Linked DNA regions of Drosophila melanogaster. The protein of the gene in region 1 interacts with the protein of each later gene in a pairwise test. Each region holds a gene or a part of one and is shown in the gene's direction. Other genes may lie near its edges.

The links. The genes of interacting proteins can lie anywhere in the genome.
Region 2: the proteins of CG13526 (region 1) and TwdlM interact in a two-hybrid assay, tested with the Drosophila melanogaster proteins (one large-scale study listed by BioGRID).

The regions. Positions count from the first base shown.
Region 1 is NT_033778.4:22,753,557-22,756,396, forward strand, and holds CG13526 (uncharacterized protein), read left to right. Parts: upstream 1-1,662; 5' UTR 1,663-1,768; coding exon 1,769-2,233; 3' UTR 2,234-2,340; downstream 2,341-2,840.
Region 2 is NT_033777.3:26,616,049-26,620,724, forward strand, and holds TwdlM (TweedleM), read left to right. Parts: upstream 1-3,069; 5' UTR 3,070-3,118; coding exon 3,119-3,133; intron 3,134-3,210; coding exon 3,211-4,062; 3' UTR 4,063-4,176; downstream 4,177-4,676. Other genes in the region: TwdlP (TweedleP), read right to left, coding at 4,614-4,676.

The DNA.
Region 1 (2,840 bases):
AGCATTCTCTCGCATTTTTTTGAGTGCATTCGGTTGAGTATGTGAGAGCTTGTCGATTATCGCAAGCATTTGGCGAACGGCAAACTTTTGCGCTTGTCGGCGTTAACAAGCCACAGCCATGCGTTTAACTAAGCGTAAATGTAACAGTGTGTGTGTGTGTGTGCGGAAGGGTAAGGGGGTGGCGGTTGAGGGGGAGTAGATCCTGTCAGCGTGTGACTAAAGTGTGTTGGTGTGTGTGTGAGTGTGTCGGTGCGGTTGGGTAGCAGCAACATTGTTGCAAAATGATTTTGAAAAAAAAAAACCATCAATAACTCAAATATAATGACAGTTTTCCACTTGTTGTTGCCCGTCACAATCACCCGCCGCCCCTAGCTGCCAACCACCACCATCCCCCGCCCCTAAGTGGGGCTAAATGGATGAATAACTTAAGCCAGCTGCTTCGCCTTTCCTCTTAGTGTGCGATGTTATGTAATGTAATAACGTCAATCAAATTTAAAAAGGCAGACCAACTATTTCAAAATCAATTTTCCTGAGACCCCGCCCCAGCGCCCCTTCGCCATTGCGCCCCCACCCCCTTTTCATGGAAGCGGTGGGAATGTGGAAAAGTGGAAAGGCAGCGGAAGGAAACAGGAAAGCGAGCTCGGCTTAAGCAAATACACAAGCACAAGTTGTTGCAGCATCAGAGGAATCCTGAGTGGGCTGTTGCTTGTGGAGCGGAGGAAGTAGGCTAATGTAGCAGAAGAAGACTCCGGACTCAGTCACTTTGCAAACAGTATCCCCCACTAAGCTCTGACTAGCGAAATTTGCAGCCAGGCACCGTGACACCGAGTGAAAAAGTGCCTGCCATGGTTAAAGTTGGGTTTAAACTTTTGACTGGCCGTGGCGCGTGGTTTTTGCCCCCGGGAGAAATGTATCATTCGTGTCATTAATCATTCGTCATGTGGGACGGCGACAACATTTCATTTGCTTATCATCCGGCTCAAAGTCTTTGGGGGAATGAACGCAACAAGAGCAGGCCTCAAAGTTGAATGAATCAAATGGGCTGTCGGAAAACTTATTTCTAAGCCTAGAAATCCCTGACAAGTCAGTGGCTTCGCGTCCCCTGCGATTGTAGGGATTTGAGGAGGCGGAGGTAGAAGCATTAGACAGAAGGTGTGGTTAAATAAATGTTTTCTTATTTGCTGAAATTACAGCAGTCTTAATTAGGATTTTCTCAAAAATATTTCACAGTATGGTTGAAATTTAAAAGTCCAACTATGATAGCATTTATTCAATATAATTACTTGAAACTGGACAGGGATTACAAAAAATCCTTTCAGCTAGTACAAGAGCATCCTTTCAATTTATATGCCCGCTTGATTTTTTATGGCCAGCACTCCACAGCACAACTACTGCCCATCATCATCATCATCGTCATCTAACATCATTCCTGTCCCATGGACGGCCACTCAAAGGCAAGCGCTGAATTGACAAATTGATGGATGGTTCTCCAAACGTTGCATGCTTCAGCATCTCTGCTTTCCTTATTTTTTCCCTTTATTGCCCCTTGTACGAGTATATGATGCATTATTATTCCGGAAAAGTTTGTGACCGCAACAACAACAATTGCTTGCCTAAGTGTTTTATTAGCCATCGAGAACAGAGTTTGAGTTCGGTTGAGTTGAGTTGATTGTCAGTTTTCATACACATCGGTTTTTCCCCATTTCTCCTTTTTTTTTTTGTATTCCTGATTTTCCTGAACTACTTTAGGGTTTTATTTGCTAGTGCCATGCCTTCTTTTTCCGGCAATGAGCTGACGAATGAGCATATCGACGAACTGAGGGATGCCTTTGAAAAGTATGATCTGGACTCGAATGGCACATTATCAGCCAACGAGGTGCGACTGGCTCTAATATCAGTGGGTTACGAAATCACTGAGGCAGAGTTGTACGATCTCATCCATTCGGTGGCTGTGAGAGACGAGGAGAGGCTGGACTTGAAAAAATTTATACGCATGATGGCGCCCCGAATGGCCAATGTGGATAGTGATAAAAGTCTATGCCGGACCTTTAACATGATTGACCGCGATCGCGACGGCTACGTCACCGTCCAGGATGTTCGTGCCATTATGGTCGTCCTGGGCGAAGTCGTAACCGATGACGATATTAAGGATATCTGCCAAGCAGTCGATATGGATGGCGATGGTCGCATAAGCTTGCGCGATTTCGTAGGCTTTATGCACAGCCCCATTTGAGCTGAGACAGCAAGCAAAATTGAACATTTTTCATACAGAGTAAGCAAACAAACAAAAATGTATCTCACAAATCTATTGTAGATTATAATAAAAATTATTGTTTTCATAATTATTAATATATTTAATTTTTGTGTAAAAAGCCAGTCAGTGTTTATGAATTTTCGTTTAATTTTATAATGGTTTTTTTTTTATTTAAAATGTTCTTTATTTTGTTTTTAGTAGGGCTTAATGTTTGAAGTACTTAAAAATTGAAATTCAATACATAGACGTACATATATTTCTGCCTGCTGGCAGAAAAAACGAAGGCGGCTGAATGGAAAACGGAAGGAAAAAATTGAGAGCATAAAGCCAGAAATTAATTCAACAGCACGTTTCGTCCATTAAGCCGCCAGAGCTTTGCTTGCTGACTTTGCCATCCTTTCGCCACCGCCCCTGCCACTCCCCCTGCAGGACATGGACATGGACACATGTGCAATGGCCGCACACACAAACACACATGCAAAGTGTTGTGTAAACAAGTCAGCTGCCAGTTGGCTGGGCGCTGCAGGCGGGGCTCACAGTAGGGGAAGAGCTAGAAGATGAAGAAGGAGCTTATCCAGAAGGAACG
Region 2 (4,676 bases), on another chromosome or scaffold:
TGCACTGGGACCGTGCTGTTGCTCGTAAAGAGTCCGGGATCCTGAAAACTGGGACATTAAGCTGGCATTAGGCAGAGGCAGGCCTGCAATTAAAATAAAATGGAGAGCTCAAGCGTCGACGACAATATGCACTATAAGGCAGACAAAAATGTGTTTTTTACTGCGCAGAATGCGTACTAAGGAGACCTCGAAAATAATTTATTGCCTTCTTGTGGGTGCCAAGGATCGCGCAAAAAGCCGCAAATTTATTTGCCGCTCTTATCGCTCTATCCATGTAGAAATAAAGCATAGAGCATATTTTTTTAATATTTTCTATATTTTTTCCTATTGTTGATTTCTTATGCCATTTTCGGCTGATGTGCACAAACAGAAATCTCTTGTATGGCTAACTTTTTAATAAATAATCTCGGCCATTTAGCTGGTTGCAAGCAAAAAATACATAAACACGCAAAATAATAATCAGCATCTGTCGTCGTTGCCGTTTGATTGTCAATACAAAATATTTATATCGCTAACACAATTTGCCAAACAAATTGGCCAGCTCGGCGAAATTTGATTTGATTTATTCCTTTCAGCACTCTCGGATAGGTTTTTTAAAATATTGCGTTTTTTTAGCATAAGCTTTAGTTTAGTTTCCATGGTTTGGTTCGGGTTTTTGCGCTTGAAATAATTGATATCGGCTATTTGCATATCAGATTTAATATATTTGCATATATTTCTTTTGCAAAAGAGAAACGATTTTGCGGCAAGCCAGTCAGCTTTTTGGGTAACATTTTTTGTTTTTTATTTGTCGCCAGGCATGCGGAAATAATTTTGGCAACTAAAACTCGTATCTAGAGAAGAATAGAAACGGTCTGCTCGTAAAAGAGTTCGAAAAGCCGGCAGCTCCAAACATTTTTGCAAAAGAAAGGCTAGAAGCAAACAAACTCGTTTAACTGGGGTTTAACTGGCAAATTTGTCGTTCGTAAATAAAGCTTATGATTTAAGGAAATTACTAATGCTCCAATTTATGGTGAGGCGACAGATTTGATTGGATTTTTGCACCTGAAAGGCACCGCCCGGTTTTGACACCAGCCAGGTGATAGCCGAATAAATTAAATGCACAATTTTATTCGTTTCGACATTCTGGTGGGTGCCAGTACAATGGCAATAAAATAATATAGGGGCAGTCTTGTTGTCTCGAAGAGAGAAAGACTAAAAATAATGGATAAAATAATAAACAGTGTCAGATTTTGTAAATAGATCGATTGACCCAAAAGGCCATTTACATAAAGTGGTGCCAGAAATTCCCTCCCGTAGATGTTTTTTGTCCGCTTGAGCCGTTTTTTTTTTATTTATTTATTGATACGCCAACGTCGTCCGACCGCTATTATCTTCGATTTCGTGCTGGAAACTCTTTTCCCGCGTTTTGACCACTTTTTATGTCGCTGCTGCGTGCATCTTTTATGTGCGTGTGGCGCCCGAGACCTTGAAATTGTGGCTGGGTTGTTTTATTATGCTTACATTTGATTAGTTTGCATATGACATTGCCACCAGCGACTAACTTGGCTGAGATGCTGGCCAATCGGCGAGCCGCAACAGTTGGCAGTGGGCAAAAGGTGGGGCCGCACACAAAGCCAAGACAAATTGTTTTTGACTTTAGGTTATTGCTTCGAATGTGAATCTTAATTGGATCCCGGCCAGCGTGGAATGGGGGGCATCATATAGCATCATTAGATATAGAACCATATAGAACTTGTGTGTGTCCGTCACTGAAAATGATATCATGGTTGTGATGTCTTAGCGGATTTCCTAACTGACCCCATCTTCGAGTTACTCATCGCTATAGTTATCCGTGATATCAATCAATATATATATTAGTCATAACCGCGATTGGCATTCGCCACTATTGATTTGCAAATCGGTTCGGCTATCTTAAATATGGATCTTGGGTATTTCTCCTAAATTATGCAAATCAAATCAGTTTTCAGCGGATTTGCTGCTGCCTCTACCCCCCTTCTGCTCGAAAACTTTGCCGAAATAAAATAAAAAACCATAATTTTTATGATATCAATAAACCATGATGAAAAACGTGATAATCGCTGATCAGATTAAATGGTCGCCTGGCGCCAGCTGATTACCGCCGAATTCCGAATAGCTTCGGGTGCTGGTCAACAGTAAAAAACCTCAAGGTCGCAACGGTTGTTAGCTTTATGGCTTCTATTTTGCGAAGCCGTGTTTTTGCCACAGGTTAAATGGCCAAGCGACGAGCTCCGGACAAATGGACAGATGGGCCGTCGGATAGATGGACGGATGAATGAATGGATGCGCAAAAAGGCTGGCGAAAATTGATTTCTATCCATTTCAGATCCATTGTTTTTCAACCCTACCACAGTCCACAGTCCAGTGTTCGGGTTTTATATGGCCAAACCCTAGAGCAGCCAGTTCCATACACCATACACCATACACCATACCATACCATATACCATATACAATATTCCAAATACCAAAGGGGGACGCAATAATCGCTGGGGATTCCCAGCTAGAAATATGCGGCTGGATCAACTAAAAAGTGTAGAAAAACCGAGTCGTTTTCGAACTCGTTTGGATGCTCCGCTAAATGTTTTAGCATACAAAATATGAAGAAAATCATTTCATTTACTGAAAGCATGACCATTTATAGTAGTGGCTTTTGCTAAACGAGTTTTCAGCCGTTTCCTCCGCCGAGAGCCTGCTCTATTGGATTACAACTTGACGGGTAGGGTCGTGTGCCTAAAAATTTTCGATGATGGTACTACGACTTGGACTGAGGGATCGTGGAATTAGCATAATGTCGACGCCAACATTTGCAAGAATAGGGCGGCCAGGTATCGATGCGCTTTGTTCACGTCGGCTTGGCCATTGTTTTATCGCACAAGCTTCGTTTTTCGAAGGTGGATAGCATTTCAAGAGACAAAAGCTGCCGAAGAAGTTACCAAAAAATGCTGCGGAGCCAACAAATACAACGATGGTAAAGTCTGCATGAACTTGAGCGCAGTTTAGTGACACCGATCGTTGGTTTTCGTATAAATATTGGACCTTTCGGTGATGCAAACGTCAGACACAACCAAGTGGTCAAAGTCAAAGAACTAAATTCAAAATGCGTGCCTTCATTGTAAGTATACGTTCGATCGCCGACGAAATACTCCAAAAGGATACCAAGGATTACAATGCTGTTTTCTTTATCTCCAGGTTATGTGCTTGGTGGCAGTCGCCTGCGCCGATAAGCTCGGCTACAACTACCAGCCCGTGGGACACTCCAGCTCCGGACTGTCCTTTGCTCCTGGAAGTGGCAGCATTGGAGGTGGCTCCATCGGAGGAGGCAGCATCGGAGGAGGCAGCATCGGAGGCGGCAGCATCGGAGGCGGCAGCATCGGAGGCGGCAGCATCGGAGGATCCATTGGTGGTGGTTCCATTGGAGCCAGCATCGGAAGCGGTGCCGGTCTGGGTGGTCTGAGCAGCATTGGTGGTGGAAGCATTGGCAGCATCGGAAGCATTGGTGGTGGTGACGCCCTCAGTGCCCCCGTCTCCTACAACGCCCCTGCCCCAACCGCCGAGCTGGAGAAGGAGTTCTTCACCTTCACCGCCAACGAGCAGGACTTCGATGAGCCCCAGCAGCTGGAGCGTGTGTCCTCTGCCCTGAACAAGGCCCTGCGCGTTGTCTTCATCAAGGGACCCGAGAACCGTGGCCTGGAGAACGCCGCCCTGGCCCTCGCCAAGCAGGCTGCCCAGCAGGAGACCGCCATCTATGTCCTGAACAAGCAGGCCGATATTGGAGATCTGGCCAACAAGCTGAACGCCATCCGCAGCAACAACAACAACAAGCCCGAGGTGCACTTCGTCAAGTACCGCACTCCCGAGGACGCTGCCAACGCCCAGCGCGCCATCCAGGGTCAGTACGACCAGCTGGGAGGATCCAGCCAGGCCCACAACGGTGGTGTTGCCCCCGTCCTGAACTTCGCTTCCGCCGCTCCAGTGCGTCAGGCCGCCGCCCAGAGCCCCGACAACTCCTACCTGCCATCTTCGGTCTTCCGTCGCGTCTAAGTCGCTCGTTTCACTCCTTTCGGAATCGAAAACGCCAGCGATTTTTGACTGATATTAAATCGTAGTTTTTGTTGACTAATGCTTAAATAAATTCAATTCTTAAATTTTAAAACCAATTTGACTTGTTGTAGTGCATTTGTAAAAACCAAAAAACTTTGCAGGCTGAGTTCATTGGGAACGAAACTTCGCAAGTTCGGATTTATTTGCAGCGAAATATTTTCTTGCAAACTTTGAAAGCGCACATAAGTAGAAGCACTTATATATTTCTTAGGAACTAGTTTATACTTTAACCATATTCAAAATTTAATACCAGTTTATGGCTGCTGAGATCTTGGGTTTTGAACAAGTATTTTTATTTCTTCTTTCTTCTTTCTTTCTGTTTTTATTCGATTATCGCTGCTATAAATAGGTATACAATTTATTTTGAAAACTGTTGCATACTTATGTTGCTTTCGTCAATTTTTAAAGGAATTAACCAAATGAAAATACAATAATTTACATAACCAAATTAGATAACTTTTATTCGAAAACAACGTTTAACAATCGATTTTCTAGTGACGCAGGCGACTCAGGATGTTGGCGGGTAGGTAGTTGCTCTGGGGCACCTGTTGAGG